3 linked regions of the Tamandua tetradactyla genome follow. The protein of the gene in region 1 interacts with the protein of each later gene in a pairwise test. Links are inferred from orthologs where the notes say so. Each region holds a gene or a part of one and is shown on either strand. Other genes may lie near its edges.

The links.
Region 2: the proteins of TRIM42 (region 1) and EMD interact in binary tests that used the Homo sapiens proteins (3 or more experiments, as listed by UniProt). The two-hybrid records come from large-scale screens. The link is inferred for Tamandua tetradactyla from reciprocal best matches to the Homo sapiens genes TRIM42 and EMD.
Region 3: the proteins of TRIM42 (region 1) and YWHAQ interact in binary tests that used the Homo sapiens proteins (3 or more experiments, as listed by UniProt). The two-hybrid records come from large-scale screens. The link is inferred for Tamandua tetradactyla from reciprocal best matches to the Homo sapiens genes TRIM42 and YWHAQ.

What each region holds. Positions count from the first base shown.
Region 1 is NC_135341.1:84,768,866-84,776,800, forward strand, and holds the start of TRIM42 (tripartite motif-containing protein 42), read left to right. Parts: upstream 1-4,927; 5' UTR 4,928-5,138; coding exon 5,139-5,479; intron 5,480-7,935.
Region 2 is NC_135353.1:6,569,379-6,576,184, reverse strand, and holds EMD (emerin), read left to right. Parts: upstream 1-4,293; 5' UTR 4,294-4,455; coding exon 4,456-4,537; intron 4,538-4,627; coding exon 4,628-4,738; intron 4,739-4,915; coding exon 4,916-4,993; intron 4,994-5,225; coding exon 5,226-5,359; intron 5,360-5,724; coding exon 5,725-5,774; intron 5,775-5,884; coding exon 5,885-6,218; 3' UTR 6,219-6,292; downstream 6,293-6,806. UniProt on the Homo sapiens protein: Stabilizes and promotes the formation of a nuclear actin cortical network. Stimulates actin polymerization in vitro by binding and stabilizing the pointed end of growing filaments. Inhibits beta-catenin activity by preventing its accumulation in the nucleus.
Region 3 is NC_135329.1:55,646,617-55,654,264, reverse strand, and holds the start of YWHAQ (14-3-3 protein theta), read left to right. Parts: upstream 1-4,634; 5' UTR 4,635-4,766; intron 4,767-5,176; 5' UTR 5,177-5,296; coding exon 5,297-5,590; intron 5,591-7,648. UniProt on the Homo sapiens protein: Adapter protein implicated in the regulation of a large spectrum of both general and specialized signaling pathways. Binds to a large number of partners, usually by recognition of a phosphoserine or phosphothreonine motif.

The DNA of each region.
Region 1 (7,935 bases):
GGAACAGAGCCTAAGGAACCTGTGAACACCATCAAATACAACAATGGATACACCATAGGAACCCAAAAGGAGAAGAGACAGATAAAGGGGCAAAAAAGAATGTGCAGAATTAATTGCTAAAAACTTCCCAGATTTGCTGAAAGCTATGAATGCTAAACACCAAGCGGAATGGGCTCAAAGATTATGATCAAATGTCAAGAATAATGCAGAATTTTAAAAACAGCAAGAGTCAAGCAATGCATCATATATAAGGAATTTTTACTAAGATGACGAACCAATTTCTCAATAGAAACCCTGGAGTCCAGAAGATAGTGAGACAACATATTTGAAGTGCTGAAAGAAAAAATCCACCAACCAAGAATTCTGTATACCCCAAAGGATTAAAAATACATGTTCATGCAAGCACTTGTACATGAATGCTCATTGCACCATTATTCATAATAGTCAAATAGTGAAAACAATCCAAATGTCAATGTGGTATATCCATATAATAGACCATCATTCAGCCATTAAAAAGAAAGTGGTGGGGAACTTCTGGGGAAGATAGCACAGTAGGGAGCTCCAGGATGCAGTCCTTCCACCAAACAGCTACTAAACAGGCAGGAACCATCTGAAACAAATGTTATGGGGCCCTGGAGACCAGCAGAAGGAAGAGGCTGGTAAACCACAGTGGCAAAGAACAGCAAGTTGCTCTCTTCAAGCAGAGGCTCTTGGCCCCCATTCCCCACTCTTACAGCTGGGTGCTATGAGGCCCAGTCCTAGGCCACCTCACTGGGGACAGAGAGGGACATAAAATGCTCTTCCCCAAGAACAGGGGTGGGTGCAGTAGATCACTGATCATGCCTTTTGATTAGTGAATTTGGATCACTGGGTCCTGGCTCTGAGCTTGTATTTCAACCTGCCTGGAAAAAGGCAGCAGCAGCAGTTTTTTAACCTTGCTCTTGACAGGGGCAGACTTGGTGGAGATTTGAACACACAGTGCTTCATGGGGGCTCTGGGGGTGATGAGCTGAGGGGCTGCACTTGCTAGAAAGGCCAGAAAAGCACAGAATTGGGGACCATCCTTTCTTGAGGAAACCCTTCAACAACTAGGAATCGAAGGAAACTTCCTCAACATGATAAAGGGCATGTATGAAAACCCAGAGCTAGCATTGTACTCGGTTGTGAAAGCTTTCCCTCCAAGATATGGGATAAGACAAGGATGCCTACTGTCACCACCGCTCTAGAAGTTCTAGCCAGAATAGTAAAGCAAGAAAAAGAAATAAAAGACATCTAAATTGGAAAAGAAGAAGTGACACTGTCACTATCTGCAGATGACATGATCCTATACAGACAGTCCCAAAGTGTCTACAACAAAGATACTAGAGCTAATAAAGCTGTTTAACAAAGTGATGGGATAAAAGCTCAACATGCAAAAATCAGTAGTGCTTCCATACACTAGTAATGAGCGATCTGGTTCAATGAAATCCCAATCAAAATCCCAACAGCCTACTTTACAGAAATAGAAAAACCAATTATCAAATTTATTTGGAAGGATAAGGGCCCCCAATAGCAAAAAAATATCTTGGAAAAAAAAGAACAAAGTTGTAAGACAAACACTTATTGACTTTAAAGCTTTTACAAAGCTACAATGGTCAAAGCATCATGGTTCTGCCATAGGGACATTATATTAACCAATGAAATCAAATGAGAGCTTAGGAATAGACTCTCATATCTAAGACCAATTGATTTTTGATGAGATTGCTAAGTTTAGAATAGTCTGTTCAACAAATGGTGTTAGAAGAACTGGATATCCATAGGCAGAAGAATGAAAGAGGACCCTATCTCACACACTATACAAAAATTATCTCAAAATGGATCAAAGACCTACTTATATGCACCAGGACTATGAAAGTTCTAGAAGAAAATGTAGGTAAGCATCTTCAAGATCTTATAGTAGGCAATGGTTTCTTAGACTTTACATCCAAAACACAAGCAGTGAAAGAAAAAAACTAGATAAATGGGAGCTCCTCAAAACTAAAAATGTTTGTGCATCAATAGAATTTGTCATGAAATTGAAAAGACCACCTACTCAATGGGAAAAAATATTTGGAAGCCACATACCCAATAATGATTTAATATCCAAAATATATAAAGAAACCCTATAACTCAACAATTAAAAGACAAACAACCCAATTTACAAATGGGCAAAAAACTTGAATAGACATTTCTCCAAAGAGAATACATAAATGGCTAAAACGCAAATGAAGAGATGCTCGACATCACTAGTGATTAGGGAAATGTAAATCAAAACCGCAATGAGGTATCATTTCACACTGACTACAATGGCCACTATTTAAAGAAAAAACAGAAAACTAGAAGTGTTGGAGAGGCTGTGGGCAAATAAGAGCATTCATTCATGTAAAGTGGTTTAGCCTCTGTGGAAGATAGTTTGGCAGTTCCACAGGAAGCTAAGTGTGCAATTAACGAGGTGATTTAGCAATCCCAGTACTGTATGTGTATCTATATCTAGAAGAATTGAAAACCATGGACTGTAGCAAATATTTGTACACTGATACTCATAGAGGCATTATTCACAATTGCCAAAAGATGGAAGAAACCCAAGTTTCCATCAGCTGATAAACAGATAAACAAATGTGGTGTCTACATACGATGGAATATTATTCAACCGTAAAAAGGAATGAAGTCTTAATGCACGTGACAACATGGGTGAACCTGGAGGACAGTATGCTAGCCAGACACAAAAAGACAAATATGGCATGATCTCACTTTTGTGAACTAATTATAATAAGCAAACTCAAAGAGTTCCTATCTAAATATAAATTACCTGGAGATAGACTGGGGTTGGAGAATGGGGATTTGATGCTTAGACTTGTACGGAACTTCTATTTAGGCTAATAGTTAAGGTGTGAATTTCTATTTAGGCTAATGGTTAAGGTGTGGAAATGGATGGCGGCAATGGGAGCACATTATTGGGTGTGTCATCAACAGCACTGAGCTATAGAGGTGAATGTGTTTAAAAGGGGAAACTTTAGGATGTATATATTACTAGAATAAAATTTAAAAAATAAGACATGGGATTGTACAACACAGCAAATCCTATTATAGATGACTGACTATGGCTAATAGTATAAGAATGCTCTTTCATAAATTATAAAAAATATACAACAGTAATACAAGGTGTCAGTGACAGGGTAGGAATGGGGAAAATACACCTAATGTAAATTACGGATGACATAATAGTACGATTTTAATAATTTTTCATCAATTGTGACAAAGGTAACTGCTATTAAAATATATATAGTACAATTATTTTTAAAGTGCTATCATCAGTTATATTGAGGGTTTGGTGGTGTATGAGAATCTCGTATTTTATGCATAGTTGTTTGTAAAGCCACAAATTCTCTAATAAAAATCTTTCAAAAAGGAATGAAATACCTGATACATGCTACAGTGTGGATGACCTTGAAAATATTATGTGAAGTGAAAGAAGTCAGACACAAAAGGCCACAAATTCAGTGATTCCATTTCTATGCACTACTCAGTACAGGTAAAAATCACAGTGACACAAAGTAGAGTAGCGGGTGGTGGGCAGGGGCCGGGGGTGGGTGGGTGAGATGAGGAGTGGCTGCTAATGGGTACAGTCACTTTGGGGATATGATAACACTATTTTGGAATTAGAGAGCGGTGATGGTTGCACAACCACACAAATATATTAAAAGCACTGAACTGTACACTTTTACATGGAAAATTTTATGGGATCTGAATTATGTCTCAATTAATAAGAACAGGAGGCTTTGCACAGACCAGTGATGAAAAGGCACCATAAATCCATAACCAACTCAGATCTCAGCACCTGGGGACAGAAAGAAATAGAGACAAAATTGCAGTTGGGCAGACATGCGGGAAAAGGTGTCTTTCAAACATTGTTGGTATCAGTGTAAACTGACACATACATTTCAGCAAGCAATTTAGTAGTATCTATAAAAAATAAATCAAATACTCTGTGATCTAGGATTTTCACTTGAAGGGTCGTAAAAACAATTTGTGGCTGGCAGCGAGTCAGCACTCAGTGAAGAGTCTTTTCTATTAAAAAGGTGACGGTCACAGAAAGAGATCATAAATTATGCAAAAAAAACACTGCAGCCACACTCAATTCTCACATCTGTTTCACACAGTGTTTATGTCATAATACTGTATGACAATGAACTTTCTGACCTTTAATCTTTGTAAGGCACATAAGGTGCAAAGAAAAATTCTCCTCTAAAACATAAGGTCTATTTACTAAGGATCCTTCTGTAGAATTCTGCACTTTGTAAAAGGGCTATATTGGGGACAGTGCAGGGGGGAAGCAAACAGCTTGAGTCTCATCAAGCATTAGAAAAGTCAAGAAATATTTGGGGTAACTTAAGCATGAAGACTTCTGGAAATCAGCAGTGACTATACAGCAAATGACAAACTCAACAACTACAGAAAGAAGTGCTAATTGTACCTAATTCTTCTTTTCCTTTAGTTCTTTCTCCATTATATTTTTAAATGTGACATTGCTAATATTTGTAAACACTGTGCTTTGTTCATCAAATAGATAGCTCTATCTATGCAAAAATAAATAAAGAAAGAAAGAAGAAGAAGAGAGAAAAAACATGTCAGTCTATATTCACAATCATATCCAGACCTTTCAGCCTATGAAGACGTACCTGGAGTCAGCTTGTCCAAACTGCAGTCACAGAAGCAAGGAGAATTAGATTCTGAAATCTGATCTATAACCCAGAGGTGACAAATGACAGCTAAACCTCTAGGATGTCATTGCATCACTTCCTGAAGCTGGTCCTGTGGAAGCATGGATTGTCCATCAGCTCACCTTGCTGCCAGGTGTCCCCACTGCTGCCCCACCTACCCAGGGTGGTGAGAGGTGGTAGGGAGACAGGAATTGTGACATAAGCAAAGGCCCTCCAGCTGATACATGCATATGCCAGCCCCTGAGCTTCCTAGTAAGGACACCACCTGTGAAGGCCTTGCCACAGCCGACCTGCTCAGCCGCCAAGCTGACCAACTCCTCGGGCGGGGGGAGCCACGGCAGGATTCTGGTAGAGGAGGGACCACAAGCCCCAGGGGGCAGGGTGCAATCATGTAGGCGCCATGGAGACCGCTATGTGTGTCTGCTCACCCTGCTGTACATGGCAGAGGTGTTGTCCCCAGCTGTGCTCCTGTCTGTGCTGCAAGTTCCTCTTCACCTCGGAGCGCAACTGCACCTGTTTCCCCTGCCCCTACAAGGATGAGCGCAACTGTCAGTGCTGCCACTGCACCTGCTCCGAGAACCCCAACTGCCACTGGTGTTGCTGCTCCTGGGCCAATGACCCCAACTGCAAGTACTGCTGCATGGCCAGCAGCAACCTCATGTGCCACTACTATGAGAGTCGCTGCTGCCGCAACGCCACCATCACCTTCCGCAGGGGCCGCCTCAAGAGCATCCGCACCTCGTAAGTGCCAGCACCCAATGGGCTAAGGAGAGCCGGGGGACAAGGCCGGTGCACCCCTAAGCCTGTCTCTCCATCTGAAAAACAGATGCCCACTCTTTTGTAACATTAAGTGTATCCCAAACAGCCATAAACCACGTGCAGGCCAGAGTTTCAAATCCAAGCTCTAATGGTGAGGAGGAGCTGCACTCTCCTGGCCTCCACTTGCTCATCTGTGCACGGGCACAGCAGCGGGTACTGGGTATTAGGGCACCATCACTACCAGGCACTGCCTGCACGACCCCACCTAACCCTCCCACCACCCACACTGAACTGATGATGAAATCAAGCCTTTGAGAGGTTCATTTGCCCAGGATCACACAGCTATTGAGATGTCAGGATCTGAACCCAGAGTCTTTGATCTTAACTTTAAAAGGCTGTACTGCAAAGCAAAGGCACCCATGCGTGCCAGGGTACAGAGGCCTGAGGATGACTGAATAGGCTTTGTAATCTGCTGGGCAGTATTAAAATATAAGTCGTTCTTCCTCCACTGAGCATGACATCTGCACCATTAACTGGGCAAAATAATCACATCCACAGGCGAGTTTAGACCCCTATATAAGTACTGCATCCCCCTTTGAACTCCTATCTGCCTTCTGCTCTTTCCTATCCAAAAGTCACAGCACCTACAGTCTCAGTTGGGGCGTTCACCCTCCATGCCAGGCATTACACAGCCCCTCCCTGGTCTGGCCAGGCCAGTCTTTTATGTCACATGTGAGGAAGGTATGGAGTAATGTGGGCAGACTTCTCAGAGGAGAACAGATCAAAGCTCAGCCCCATAAGATGACAGAATTTGGTGAGACAGAGAAGCAGGAGGTAAGTTTGGATCTTTCTGAGGCTAGAAAAGCAATTCTATGAGCAAAGTTGCGGTGGCTCTGGGGGAGGAGTACAATCCGTCTTGCATTCAAGCACTTAGTAGATGCTTAGTGGCTGGGACGCTCTCCACCAATGGGCTTCTCATTGGTGCACGCGTGACTAGAGAGTCCAGGAATTCCGGGTGCATGTCAGAACACTCTAGGGTGTGGAGAGTAGAGTCCACACCCCCTCTCCGCACAACCGCCTTGCTCTCTGCGTGTCAGCAACACAGATTTGCTAAGCCCATTTCAGCAGCAAGGGGGGCGATGAGCTCGGCAGGAGCTTTGAGAGGATGGTAAGACCAGTGGCTCCCACACTGTGCTGTGCGTTAGAACCATCTGGGGACAGGGACGTACAGGAAACGCAAGAAGGTCAAGGCAGGGGGAACAGCCATGGAATCAAGACCAAAATCCAAACCTTGCTAATGGGATCAGAGGTGAAGGGATAGGCACAGCCACAAACTGTTTCTGTCCACTCCTTCATTCCCACAGCAAACCGTGTCTTTTCATGAACTGCTTTTGCTCTGATTGGAGCCTTTAGAAGCTACACTTGTATTTTACAAGTAAGCTTTATTTCACCTAGAATGCTTACATTCCAGGAAACAAGCCCCAAAAACATTCAGCATAACATAATTAGACAAAGCATCTTAAACACACACACACAAGACGCTAGAAGCACACACTTTGCACGGACTTGACCGCTAGTTTCCTCTGCTGTGGACATGAGCTGGCTGGCCGCGGACAGGAGTAATTACAACAGCCACATGCACCATTATAATTATGTACCAGCATCTAGGCACATAGCATAGATTTTTCTCTTTGTAGAAACCTCACGAAGGAAGTACTATTGTGGGCCTTGATTCACAGATGAAGCAACAGGCTGAGAGAAGTGGTGCCTTCCAGCTCACTTCTAACCGTCACTGCCTGGTCCAGGGGGCAGAGCTCATGGGCTCTAGAACTGGCATAGCTACTGAGCTCCTGCCCTGGGAGAGGCCCTGTCTCCTGCCCCAACTCCTGGGTTCCAACCGACGTACACAAATAATAATGTCCATAACCTCCAGGCAGAAACAAGCAAGAATACACTGTAATTGGAACAAAAGTGGATGTATTGACCCACTGCAACAAGGGAGGCACCCCAGGAAACTGTGAGGTGTCTCAGTCAGAGGGTGTCAATAAAGTATAGGACTGGGGCTCGAAGTAGGTGAGGAGGTGGGGGGGGGGACCTCTTAGTGGGTGTCGCACTAAGTCTTACCTAGAAGGCAGGGGGACCAGGTGAGCCCCCCAGTTGCCATTGGTAAAGAAGCAGGAACTGGTGTTAACTGGGAGAGACAGATGTCTGGTCAATTTTGTGGTTTGAGTAACGTTCCTATTTTTGTCTGGTTCAGACATGATTGTGTTTTGATCCATGACAGTCCCCAGGTGGGCTTGTCTGACATTAGCGTCCAGTGATATTGCTTCTGTCCGACAGGAACTTCCCCGCCCCCAACCCCCAGGCCAGCAGATAGGCCCAGGGTGGTCCCAGTTCCAGGGCTGCTTTACTCTTGTTCAAAGAGCAGTTCAGCACTT
Region 2 (6,806 bases), on another chromosome or scaffold:
ACCAGCCTCACGGCCCGACCCGGCCAAGACCCGCGAGCAGCGCAGAGCCCGGCTTCTGACTCCTCACCTGCTGTCCCTGCGGGTGGCCGGCGACCGTGGGTTGGCGCCCGGCTTGCCTTCGCGCTCGCGCCTCCGGGCTGTGCCGGTGTTCGCTGAGCGCCGCGCGCCTCCACGCGAATGGCCCGCCGCCGCCCGCCTTCTTGTTGGCCGCACCCCCCGCCCCGCGCCCGGGCTCGGCCCGGCCCGGCCCGCAGAGAAAGCCTTAATTGGTAAAATCGCCCAGGAGCCGGGGGGCGGGGGTGCGCGGGAGCTCGTGCGCCCGGGCTGTACTGGCGACGCCGCCCCCCCACCCCAGATGAGGGATGAGCTCACCACCCGGCTAGGGCCGCCAGCGCTGGGGGAGGGGGGGTGGGGGTGGGTGCTTGCTTCGAGCTCCCGCGGGGTCTGCAGGGCCCACGTCTCAGCCCAGCCCTTTAGACATCGGCTTGCTGCGTTTGGGGGAGCCAAGGGCTCCCCAGGCAGAAAGGCCCAGCTCCAAGGCCACCTCCTCCAGGAAGCCCACCCCCACTCCCCAGAGTCAGGGCCCTCTGCACCCACCATCCTCTGCTCCAGCCCGGGCTGGGAAAGCAAATCGGTTTCTGTTGCCCTGGGAGGGAAGAAGTAGGGGACGGGGTAGGTCAAAGGCAGGGGCAGGTGTCCACTGAGCATCTACTAGATGAAAGGCCTGGGGCAGAGCTGAATGGAGGGGGCAGTCTTAACAGCCACCATGTGCTTGACCCCTGTTGGGTGCCAGGCTGACCTAGGGGCGTGCAGCGGAAACCCACGGACTTCTCAGCAGTCCCCTCCTGCAGAGGGCCCGTTAGACACAGTCCCAGAGCTTGGGAGAGCGCAGGAGGGTGCAGCCAAGAGCCAAGGGTCCGTGAGCTGGGCGGGCACAGACCTGCCACACCTTCCTTTTCTCCATGCCCATTGCCTCCAAGGTGCGGTTCCACATCAAACGCCACTTTCTCTTAGGAAGTCCACATAAAGCGCTGTCTTTTTACCACATCGCCCACCATCCCATAAGGATTCCGTTTTACATCCTGAACCAGCGCGCGCACACACTAAAGAACTGAAACACATTTTCAGAAAATAAGACTTTTCTTTTGCAGCTGGACCCACAGTGCCCGGGCTGGGGTGGGGTCATGGCAGTGGGGCAACTTCACTAGGAGTGAAGATGAGCTCAGAGATCCCCAGGTCCAGAAGGGGGCTACTGGGACTCATGGCCGTGTCAGTCCATTGGGGAGGGACACCCACAGGCCAAAAGCAGGTGCCAACCAGGCTAGGAGTGCCATTGCTGGAAGGGGCGCAGGGGTGGCTCTGTGGAGTCTCCAGACTCCCACCTCCACTGGAACTCCCTCTTTACACTCACACCCCCTTCCCCAAGCCCACACTGCAAACACATGCAGCTCTTCGGCATCTCGACCTGTTCCAAGTCTGGGTGGAATGGGTTGTACAGCACTAGCTGTTCCCTGGTGAAGATCATAATCAATGAAAGCCATGGCGTGGAAGAGACAGGGAAAGCACCCGAATCACCATTCCTAACCGCCAGGGCAAGCTGCCTCTCCACCCAGCCATCCCCAGAGCATTAAGATGAGCTGATGCGTCCTAGGGCCCAGACACAATGCTTTGAATGGGCAGCTCTCCATTCAAAGTTTTATAGCGATTGTGACAATCATCGACGCATTATTTTTCACCACAATCCTCATCGCATGACTTCGTACACCATCTGAGCGATGTGTCAAGGGATTCGAAAAGCAGCTAAAACCCAAAGGATCTTGAATAGCCTGAAGAGAAAAGTTAAGGCTCGTCTCTTTTCATGTTGAACAACATTCTGATTTTAAAGAAAACATTGTTTATAGCTCAATGAATGACTGCCTCCCTGTACATGGATGCTGAGAAATGTATTCCAGTAGATATGTTTCATTGCCTATAACTTTCAAGAGTGAAAGTCTCTTCCCCTCTCTGGGCCCCTGATTCTCCACTATATAGTGTGGGGGTGGGGGATGTTGCAGAGGGCCTGTTAACTCTGATGGTCAAGGCTTCACCTAGTTACTGGTGGTCTGGGGTGGAGCTGCACTGGCAATGGGACTGGACGTGGGCTCCAGGTGCCCACTGGGTGGGCACAGGGGGACCGCCCACAGTTCAGCCTCCTGGAGTCATCTGCGGTGAGACCTTATGGGGAGGGGGCACAAAAGAGTGCTGGGGCAGGTGCCGGGGGTGGGATGGGGGACTGTGTTCCTTGGGGAGAAGGCAAACCTAGAATTCCTTGACCGCAAAAGGAAACAGCTTGGATCCGCGTGGGGAGGGGCGGCGAGGGGGGGAGGACAGAGCGGCCAGAACGGCTCTGTACACGCGGGCCTCTGGGAGAGGGGCCAGCATTGCAAAAGAAGGTTCTCGGAGGTGCTGGGGCATCTGATCTTGCCAAAACACGAAACTATGCCCAGCCTGGAGCCCAGATCACCCTCCCCTCCTCTGCTCTGCTGAGGGATCAGGAGCAGGCCCCCTGTTCTAGGGCTAGCATCTCCTCCTTCTGCAGAGAACGGTGTTGTCACAGACCCGCTTGCCTCCCCTCCATGCAGCAGGAGACAGGGCAGGGCCAGGACGGACCTTGTCTTTTCAACCCTGGGCCACGGTGACTCTTCAGAAGGGTCTCTGTCTGTGGTTCAGTCCCCACCCCCACTGGGTAAACCTCCATCCAGAACCAGTCTGTGGCCCCCACGGCTGGGCAGACCAGCCTGGGTCTGCCTGGAGCCCTCCCTCTTTATCTGCAGCCAAGACGGGTCATCCAGTAGGGCAGGTGACTCTTCTCTCCGGGCTCCCCGGGGTGCACCCCAGTTTGCCCCACACCCCATTAGGCCGGCTTTGTTTAGAAGAGGACTGCCAGCCCCTCCCCACACTCCAGCGGACAGTCTCTTTCCGAGCAAGGTCTTTATCTCCTCCCAGCCACACTCCGTGTAACCTCAGCAGGCCTCGGCAGGCTTCTGCGGTTTGCACGCCATCCACACCCCTCCTTTGGCCACCCGTCCTGCCATTGTCCCTGCAGCGGGCTCAGACCCCTCTGACAGGTCCATCTGACTCGAGAGCCAACCCCCTCCGCGGGGGGCCCTGCTAGGCCACCTCTGTCCCACTCAGCTCAAGGGCCATTCCCACAGGAGAGGAAGCCCCCCCCTCCCTCGGGGAAGGCCGGCAGGTGGGGTGGCGGGCACACGCTGTCCCAGCACGCGTCATGTCAGCGTCCCGTGCCAGTGAGTGCTAGCCGGCCCGGGCCCCTTGGAAGGCTGGTTGTCCCTGGAATGCCTGCGGCCTCCTGGCCCAGTGCCCCCTTTCCTGCGAGCGCAGGCGGGAGGGAGGTGGTGAGTGCGGGACGGGCACAGGTGCGTGGGCCAGGGAGGGGACAGGGGTCTAGGAGGTGGCGGGCCTTAGAGTCGCGGCCCTAGCTGGCGGTGGCTTCCCTCGCTTGCCGCGTGCAGAGCGCCCGGGAACAAGCCCTGCCCGGAGCCGGGGCTCTCCAAGTATCTCCGGGCCTGAGGAGCCCCTTTATCCCGAAGCCTGGGGAAGGGGACAGTGACCAGGGCGGAGGGACTGAGGCGCCTCTGCCCACGTGACTCAGGGCGCACGAGCCACTTCCAGCGCGCCGCCCTGCCCCGCTAGCCTGACCGGTTTCCGCCGGTTGGGCTCCCGAGCACGCCCCGCCCCGCTCCCATGTCTGCCCGTACACACCAGCGTGTGACGTCTTTGTTCGCAGGCTCCGCCCCTCCCTCGGGCGCGCAGTCGCACCGCCCTCCCTGATACACCCTGGCCTGCACCGCTCTGGTTCCCGCGCAGGCCCCGCCCCTCTCCCACGTCTAGCCCGGGCACGCCAGGGTGTGACGTCTTGGCTCGCCAGCCCCGCCCCACTCCCACGTCCCGGCCGGTCGGCGGGGTTTCGGCTCCCGCGGAGGCCCCGCCCCACTTCCGCTTCTAGCCCGAACATACCAGCTAGTGACGTCTGCGCTCCTCAGCCCCGCCCCGCCCCCACGTCCAGGTCCGAACGCGCCGCTTCGGCGCCCACGCAGGCCCCGCCCCCTCCCGCGCGCAGCCCGTACCCTCTCGTTTGTGAAGTCACCGCCTGCCGGCCCCGCCCGCTCTCACGTTCGGGCCCGGCTCTCCCGCCCCGGCGCCGCCCGCCCCCACTTCCAGACCGGTCTGCGCCGGCTGCGCCCCCGCGCCTCGCTCCCGACCCCCCGCCCCCCACCCGGCAGCGCGCAGGCCTGGGCCGCGGAGACGCGGTCGTGACGTGGTCGAGCGGTTGCCTCGCACCCGTCGCCGCGCTCCCAGGCTACCGTTGCCAGTCCGCGTCCCCCAGCCCGGCCTGCCTCCCAGGCCTCCGCCGCCGTCGCCGCCGCCCGCCCGAGGCCCAGGGCCGGCCTCGCCATGGACGACTACGCGGTTCTGTCGGACGCCGAGCTGGTGGCCGTGCTGCGCCAGTACAACATCCCGCACGGGCCCATCGTGGGTACGCTGCCTGCGGGCGGGCGGGCGGGCTGCGGGCGGGAGGGTGGCCTCCCTGTGCCACTGACGCGCCCCGGGCTCTGTCTGTGCCCAGGCTCCACCCGCAAGCTCTACGAGAAGAAAATCTTCGAGTACGAAACCCAGAGGCGCCGACTCTCGCCCCCGAACTCCTCCTCCTCCTCGTCGTTCTCGTATCGCTTCTCGGGTGAGCCCTTTCCTCCCCTCCCCCCAATCCCAGACCACCCAGGGCCCCTTGCCACCGGAGGGGACCCGGCTGGGGCGGCCGGGAAGCCAGGGTCCGGGCCAGGAGGGCCACCTGCGCCTGGGGGCGGGGAGACCTGAGCTCAGATGTCCCCTCGGTCCCTGCCCCCTCGGTCCCCAGACCTGGATTCAGCCTCGGTGGACTCGGATATGTACGACCTGCCCAAGAAAGAGGATGACTTGCTGTACCAGAGCAAGGGTAAGGCAGGGAGGGGTGCTGGGGGGGTGCTGGGGAGGGGGCACCCTGAGACCCTCGCCCCACTCTGCCGTGGACTCTGGTCTTAGGAGGGCCTGAGATCTCAGTTCCCACCCGGCCCTGGAGGGGAGAGATTAGTGTCACCCCCAAAGTGCAGAATTCAGGTGAGGGCCACCAGCCGGATGGGGGGGCTACTGACGGAGCCTGTGCTACCCACCCCCTGCCTCTCCTCAAGGCTACAACGACGACTACTATGAGGAGAGTTACCTGAGTACCGAGACTTATGGGGAGTCTAGTTCCGGGGGCACATCCGAGGGCTTCCGGGAGCCCCGAACCTCACTCCAGGATGCCGACACCTTTCACCAACAGGTGAGCCAGAACTTGGGCAGAACTGGATAAAGCCATGGGGTCAGGGGGTGGACATGGGGGGCTCCTTCCCAGTTCCCTGGCGTCCCAGGAGGAGTGGGGGCCAAGCAGTGCCCTGGTTGGGGGGTGGGGGCAGGGGTGTTGACACTGGTGGACCAGACCCCGCCCCAGCCAGTGCACACCTGCACCCTGGTCTGGGCTCTGGGTTTGAGCTGGTTCTCAGTCCTGGGGAACAGAGGCAGCCAGGACAGTCACTGAGCAAGTGGCAAAGCCCAGAGAGGTCTTGGAGGGCTTAGGGCCCTTAACCTTGAAGCAGCGGTTAGAGCAGGCTGGCCAGCTCTGCCCCTCACCTTGACTATCTCTTCCAGGTGCAGGATGACAACCATTTCTCCTCTTCTGAAGAGGAGAGCAAGGAGAGGTGAGCAGCGGGGAGCGCCCCAGGAGGGAAGGCTGGGCGCAGGGGGCAGGGGCGGGAGCCAATCCTGGGCCGGGTCCAGCCTGGCTTACCTGTGCCCCTCTCTGCCTCAGGGAGTGCCCCTCGTACGCCCGGGACAGCGCGTACCAGAGCATCGCGCACTACCGCCCGCTTTCGAACATGGGCAGGAACTCCCTGGGCCCGTCCTATTACCCTACATCCTCCTCCACCTCCTCAGCCTCCTCTTCCTCCTCTTCCCCACCTTCGTGGCTGACCCGCCGGGCCATCCGGCCCGAAAAGCAGGCCCCTGGGGCAGGGTTGGGGCAGGAGCGCCAGGTCCCGCTTTGGGGCCAGCTGCTCCTTTTCTTGGTCTTTGCTGCCTTCCTGGTGTTCGTTTACTACTCAATGCAGGCCGAAGAGGGCAACCCCTTTTGGATGGAGCCCTGAGGGCCTGGTTTCCTGGCCAGCTCTTCTCAGAAGACCTGGCTCAACTGCCTTAGCAGTGTTTTGGTGGGGGTGGGGGTGGGGGTGGGGGGTGGGAGCTTACCTGTGTGTTTCTATCTTTTGGGGAGCTAGGCCTGGCCCAGATCAGTGCTTTGGTCCCCTCCCCCTTCTGCCTCATCCTGCTGGGGAGGTGGCAGGCTCAGGCCTTCCTCACTTGCTGGGCCCAGCGGGGTCTCCTGGCCCTGTTTGCCTTGAACCTGTGGGGCCCTGGCAGGACCTGCCGCTGTTCCTTCCAAGGAGCACATAGCTGTTGTTTTCATGCATGCGTCCTGTTCATGTCACCACTGTGGAGGAGTCACCAGAGGCCACCCCAACTTTGTTTTCGTGGACACACAATAAAAAGACCGTTTATTTTGAAGGCATTGGCTTTTCCTGCTTGGGGGAGTGGGTCGGCAATGTGTCGGGATTCCCAGGGCACAGGGTGTCTGGATCTGGGGTCTGAAGGCTCCGTATCTGCCTTTCTTGGCTTTGCTGTCTTGCTTTTGTCGTTGGGCAAAGGGATCAGATGCTACCCATGGCTATGTCTGTTTG
Region 3 (7,648 bases), on another chromosome or scaffold:
GGTGGAGACGGAGTTGACATGGAAATGTTCATGGAGGAAGTGAAAGAAATCAGGAGAAAGCTGCGGTTGGGGAACTTTCTGTGTATCCTTGTGGAGAGCTCTCCCATCACCATGACCATCGTGAGGAATTCTGCCTTATGCCTTGACTCCTGCCATTTTCCATGAGATGAAACTGGGATTCCCGCTGGCTTTTTCTTTTTCTTTGCATTTTCCTGATAAACTTTTGCCGATCTCTTATCTGTGGACCTTATGCTATTTCCCTGAGTCAGTGGGCTTGTGTTACCAGCTCTTCATTGGAGATTGCCTTTGCATCCCGTTTAAGTTTTCATCAGAAGTAAATTTTTACCCATTTGAATGGAAAGATGTAAAGTTAATAGAGCAATTTTTAAAAGGAAAAAAAAACCAAGCTGCTGAACAATGGGAATAATGTGTTCTCGGGCGTATAAAAGGGCATGCATATAGCTATGGGTGTACAAAGGAAAAGAGATTTATTCTAGAAGGAGGCCACCAAAATGTTAACAGTGGTTACCTCTCAGAGGTACCTCTCAATTCCTCTGTCCTCTCCCTTGACAATGATCATCAACATTATCACCCTTACACAATTAAAAAAGAAAGGAGCAACTCTATTGCCTGGCCTATGGGAAATGTTGGCTAAAAATCAGAATGTTAGAGTCCTTCCCCAAGGGGCAGGCTCACTGAACGCCGATTAGTATGCCTGAAACTCCACTGTGAAAGTGGGTTTTTTTTGGGGGGGGGTGGGGTGGAATGGGGTACATGGTCCAGGAATCAAACCTGGGTCTCCAGCATGGAAGGCGGGCATTCTAACCACTAAACTACCCAAGTACCCTATTGCTAACGTTTTATTCTTCCAATTCAAGAGCTTCTTTTCCTCTTAAAATGCAAATAATGGCAGAAGAAATGTCGCTTGAAGACTTACCAAATTTTTACGTGATGGAATGAGTCTACTAGATTTTTTTTTTCCCTGGGAGCACACAGTGCAGTAAGAAAGAAGAGAGCCTTAAAACGAGGTGTGGGTGAGCGGAGCAAGGAGACGCTGGAGCGAGGGCAACCACTGGCACAGAGAGAAGGGAGCCTGCAGGTGACAGGATTACGCCTGGCCCACTGCACAGCCTGAAGGAAAACTGAATTTACAGGCTGGATCCTGGCCCTGAGATGGAATGCGTAGGAATAATTTTTCCCTGGCCAGACTCTATTTGATTTCCCCACCTGTCCTAGTCTCGGTGTGAATCTCCATTTAGCTCCTCAAGGCGTGGTGGGGAGTGGGTTGCAACTTTCAAACTGCCCGTTAAAGAGAAGTATTGTGAGTAGTTAGATATGAATTTGGGGTGAAAAGTCTCCCTCAAATGTTTGTCAGCATTACCTGCCATATGGCAGGAGAGAAAGAGGCTCCCCTGTGATGATTCACTGTTCCCAGCAAATAAACAATTTAGGAGAGTAAACTCAACCAGGAGGACTCATTCATTCTGGGATGCACATTGAATGGAGGCATTCTGCAGGCCATTAACTCCACTAATTGCAACAATGATTCAAGAGATAAGCTTCCACTAACCTCTTATCAGTCTCCTCCAGGCTGGCAGGACACCACCTCCCTCCCTCTCACTTTACCCAGCCCCTAAGAGGAGGGAAAGAAAGAAAGAAACGAATATTTACTAACGCTTTATGTTCAGCATCTTTCTATACGGTACCTTATTTCATCTCCCACCACAGTGCTTTGAGGTTGGGATGATTGTGACAGGTTAGGAAACCAGGGTTCAGAGACAATCATAAGATGTCCATGGTCAAACTGACTTCAAATCCAGGGTGCTCCCCCCCCCCCCGCCCCCCTGCAGAAGCTGCTCACCAAGTAGTTTAGAAAAAAAACATCACAAGAACATCAGATAAATAAGATAATAACTCCCCAGTACTTTGTTAGCTGTCTGTTCCCTAGAGTCCTTCCTGGTGTGTTGGATGCGGGTGTTTCCCACGTTTCACATTTTCTAGAATGAAACTCCTAGAAGACAGAAGCTAGTCTGGTTCTTTCTAGAACCCTCCACAACACCTAGCAATGATGCTGGGAGACTGGATGACATAGCTACAGTGTAAAGGTTACAAGAACGGGCTTTGGCGCCTACACCACCCGGGTCCAAATCGAGGCTCTGCCACTTACTGTGTAAGCCTGAAGCATAACTGTACCTCAGTTTCCTTCTCTGCGAAATGGAGCTAGTGCTCATAACAGAACCTACTTCACGGCACTACTAAGCAGATTAAATGAGCTAATACTTGCAAAAGACAGTGTTTGACACAGGTAATTTCTAAATAAGCATCAACTCTTTATGTGTCCAGGGACATTAAGCTTCCAGAGCTTTATTTTTCTCTGACCCAAGTTTTTGAGGTGTAGAGGACCCAAGTTCTTTCTCACTCCAGAAGGATCTTCATTATGAGGAAAAATCAGAAACCACCTAAGAAGAGAATTTTGACTTTTGAAGCGTCATCTAAATAATGCTAATACATACTTTGAGGTGTATGTATGTATCCTTCTTGATTCTCCTCAAATACTTTACAATTTCATAGGGAGTCATATTTTTGAAGCAGTTTTCCACCTACATTTCCAGATGATCCTAACAATTCGAGGTAGGTGCTCGAAATAAACATTTAATGATGGAATGAAAGCAGAAATTTTATAGAACAGACTGAGGTACAGAAAACAGCAAAAACTTGCCTTAAGGACATCCAAGGAGATGGCAGCAGCCCAGACTTTCTGACAAAGAATTTAGTGTGCTTGCCCCTTCCAGGTAACCCAGCTCTTCTTACCACAGAGGTCCAAACCCCCCAAATGCCCCCCCGCCCCAACACACACACATACACACACACACACACACACACACACACACACATACACACTTTCCCTCTCTCTCTCTCTCTCTCTCTCTCTCTCATTTCCTCTGGTGTGTCCATCAGGTCTGTCTCTAATTTCGGTAAACTTGTAATGCAATGCACTGGTCATACAGAAAGCATTTTATCTGACCTTCCACATGCAAATTCTTTCCATTGGGATTTCTCGGTGTCCAGCTCCACCCCAGCCCACAAGGCCATAACCACTTGTGTGTCTACAGGCTAGCCCCAGGGATTCCAGAAATAACAGCATGGCCCTCCCTAGGAACACTGGAACACAGCAAGGCATTTCTGCTTTAGGACCCGGGCCCCTTCCAAACCAGGCCTCTCCTGTCTGTCAAAATACAAAGCAACCTTTAGAAGGCAGGACAGGGAGGGGGCAGCTGGGAGAGTTTACATTTCTGGAAAGCCTGCACTTTCTCCTCCCATCTGTATGCACTCCCAGATCTTCCATTCTAGAAATTCTCCAAATTTGCTCCGGTCGCTGCTTAGAATTTGAAATTCTTTCTCCACTATGGCATTCCTTGGCTTTCAACAATCCATTCTCTATTGGACAGTTGGAATTGGAATCGTAGCAGCATGAGCCCAGATGGCAATTTTCCTCCCAAGATGGCATAAAGCCCACTTCCCATATCCATAGAACAGGAGTTGGAGGACTAGTGAAATGCCAGGAGAGAAGGGAGTGGCCGCCAGAGAATAGCCTAGTTAAAGGGAAAGGAAAATGGTAGGGACCATCCTGAATAGAAGGCATCTGGGGCAACCTTTCTCATTCCAGAAGGATCTTCATTATGAGGAAAAATCAGAAACCACCTAAGAAGAGAATTTTGACTTTTGAAGCGTCATCTAAATAATGCTAGAAAATTTAAAGTGTGTACACATAAGACAATGATGTGAAAACCGTTGTATATCTGGAAAAGCTGGAAAGAAATTTAAAATTAGTTGCTTTGGGGGAGGGGGAAGTTATGTGTATTTTTCTCCAAATTGTCCTTAATGTCATGTGGCATTAAAATATATATATATATTTTAATATAGCATTGCAGATGAGATTTGCCTTGACCCCTTCAGATCTACCTTTTGACAAGGGAATTTTAGGGTTTGGTGCCCGAATGAAAACTTGCATTTATCATGTAAAAGCCAAACTTAAGTCACTTTCCCTAGGAACGAAAGCCTCTTTAGTGAGGATAAGATTTTTGTTTCTAATTCGCAGTCCTAATAGCAGCGTCGTTAAAGGCTGGATTTAGTGTGTTGATCCCCAAACCTTTGTCACGAATACGAGGGTGGAAGAAAGAAAAGCGTTTGTGCCACTTAACAGCCGACTATGTCGCCCTCCCAAGCTGAGCCTCGGTCAGGGCCAAGCAGCGCGGCTAGCTGAACCAGCTGGCGAGATGCCACGCATCCGTCGCGGAAGGCCACGCGGGCACGGCCGGAGAGGTCGCGCGAACCACTCGCTGGGTCTCGTGCCGCACCCACAAGGGCCGGGGGCCGGCGGGGAAGATGAAGGGAGTGGGTAAGAGCATCACCATGGCAACAGTGACGTCCTTTTACCCTGGACCTAATTGGAGGAAACCCCGTGGCCGAAGCCGCAGCCTACCGGCCAACCGAACTTCCCCAAGACGACCCACCCTCCTAGGCTCCGCTCTCTCCTCCCGCGCGGCCCCGCCTTCGCCCCCTTCCGCGCGCTCAGGCTTCATTGGCCAGAACCGGGGCGGGAGGCGGGACTCGCGGGGGGAAGCTCAGCGCATCATTGGGCAGCGGCAACGAGGGCGGGCTGTCCCTTCGGCTCTGGGGTAGGCTGAGACGGGAGGGTCCTTCGCTCAATCCCAGAGCGGATCCGAGCGGTAGGAGTTGCGCTGCGGCCGCGAAGGCAGGGAAAGGTAAGTGCTGGGGCCGCTCCCCCGCCTCTCGGGCGGTCTCCCCTGGGCCTGAGGGCAGGGGTTGGCGACCCGGCCCTCGACCGCGGCCCGACTTCTCGACGCCTCGCTCCTCAGGGACGGCTCCCGGCGGGGGTAAGGTGCGGGGCTAACGGCCGCTTCCATCTTGGGCTTCCCGGGCCGGGCGGCGCTGACGGGAGTGGCCCTTCCTGCCGGCCTTTCCCCGCCCTCGGCCTCTCACCCCGGTGCCCGGGCGGTGGGAGGGAAATTCAACTCGGCGGCGTCGGCCGAGACAAAAGGAGGGCGGCTCGGCGCGGTGGGGGCCGGGCGCCGCGCTGGGCGGGGTGCGGGGCGCATTGTCTGATAGCGCGCCCGCCCGCCTCCCCCTCCTTTTTGTTCTCTCCTCCCCGCAGGCTGTCGAGGAGGCCGCTTCCTGATCCGGGTCGCTGCTCGCAGCCGTCCGAGCCTCGCGCGCTCTCTGCCGGGCCCGACGCCTCCCCCAGCCCCGCACGCAGACCCCAGACCCACGCGCCATGGAGAAGACGGAGCTCATCCAGAAGGCGAAACTGGCCGAGCAGGCCGAGCGCTACGACGACATGGCCACCTGCATGAAGGCCGTGACTGAGCAGGGGGCCGAGCTGTCCAACGAGGAGCGCAATCTGCTCTCGGTGGCCTACAAGAACGTGGTCGGGGGCCGCCGGTCCGCCTGGAGGGTCATCTCCAGCATCGAGCAGAAGACTGACACCTCCGACAAGAAGTTGCAGCTGATTAAGGACTATCGGGAGAAAGTGGAGTCGGAACTGAGATCCATCTGCACCACGGTCCTGGTGAGTCTCGATTTTGGTGTCTCGGCGGCGTGCGAGGCGAATAGGGCGCCCCGGGCCCTTTTGTGTTATGCCTCTCCTTGGGAATTTTCATGGGAAGAGCTAAGAAATGTGGCCGAGGGTTGGCCTGATTTGTGTGCCCACGTAGAGGTTTTGAGAAGATTAGCCTGAGTTTCCACAGTATAGGCTGCTTGTGTTCTTGGGACTCCAGAAACTGGTTTTTCAGGGGTGAGTAAATCTTTACCCACATATCGCGCAATGTAACTTTTAAACATCCAAGTAGATTTATACAGGATTTGTACAAGATTGTAAAGAGTGTTGTCAGCTGGGAAACTGCGTACTAAGGAGACTTGTGACCCTTTCCAATATATTTAATCGATGCATAGGCTTCCAACAGTTGAAATACGGTGCAGGCAGCGTTTGGACGTGACGATGTAGTAGTAGGTTTTCCTTCCAAACTTAGTCATAGAAATTTACTTCAAAAATCTGAATAGATACCTTATTTTTCAAATAAGATTCTCTGTTAAAAACGGGAGGGAGGGAAGTTCAGTAAATGTGAAAAAGACACACCTAAATCTAAAGAAGAAACTGCTGTCCCGGTAAATTTTACCATTTACTAACATTTTCCTGCTATGGTGTATAGTTAAAATGCTAATATATTGAAATGAATTCATTTCTGGCTTGAAGCAGACAAGCAAGGCTTTCTAGGTTTTAAGCTGTTCAGTGTTAGCAAGGGTGGATATTGGGTGGAGTAGGTGGCTGCTGTGATTCACCCTTATTAGTGATAGATAACATTTTTAGCTTTGTCATTGCAGAGACAGGATCATGCTCTTTGGATCAATAAGACAGGTTCTTAAAATTTAAATGCTAATATTATATCCTGGAGTATTTTTAAATGTTTTCATGATGTAAAGACTTGTTTCTCCTGATAAAATATGACATGCATGATTTGCCTTTTCTCTTTGTAAGTGCCACTTTTACAAGAGGCCTACTTTTATTTTGAGTTTGTTCCCACATTGTATGTTAGGTGGGCTTGGAAAGACATGCATGCCAGATTGGTGATTTTTTTCATGGGAGAGTAAAGGTGAAAATTGCTACTTTCCTTCCCAGCCACCTTTCCCTCTCATCAGAGGAGAATGTTTTGCTTTTTTATTAAAAAAAAATTTTTTTAATCTGTTTTTCTAATACAAATAGCAAGTAATCTGGACAAAATCATTGCTATGGAAATAACAGGGACAAAGAAAGCAGTGCAGAGAGGGTGTATTAAAGCGGAGATGACTGTATTGACATTATTTGTTTTATGAGGATAAAACTTTATATTATTTTCATCTTTGTGTTCTTAACTTCCAGTCCCCTGGTTGACATAGAGACATAGAAGCTTTTTGGAGTGAATTGACATGTATTTAAGAAAAGTGGCCTACTTGAACATGATAGAGTTCAGTAGCAAATGATAATGTTTTTTGACAGTATCAATTATTATCAAGGGAGGACTCATAAGAACTCCATATTTTATGTATGTATTTGGGGAGTTCTCAAGCATATTTCCTTTTCTTTGTATTCAGTTATTTGCAATTTTTAGTTACTCTGCAGCAATTCAGAAGTACCACAATATTTTGCCTATTTTCTAGCAAGTTAACTCTGAGCCAAGGAAATATTTGTTTTATTTTGTGGTTTTATAAATTTTAGTTTTTATGACAGTGTAAGGTGGAGAATCTTGCTTAGTTGGTGTGAGGCTTGAAAGAGAGATAAGGTATGAAAATAGACCTTCATAGGAGAGAACCCCTGAAATTAGGACAGTTTTTATATACTGAGGTAGTATAGAAGAGTTCAGCTTGAATCATCTGGGACACCAGAGCATAAGTAAAATATTTTATTGATACAATGGCTTGAGAGACTAATTGTGACTTGAAAGCCAACCTATAAAGAAAATCCTGGGAAAGCATATATTCAAGTTGGCAACTGTGTTTGAGAGCTCACTGTGCGAGGTAGTCCTGGGCAGTTTGGAGAAGAACAAAGTTGAAAACCATAGATTTTGCCTTCTAACAATTTATGATATAGAGT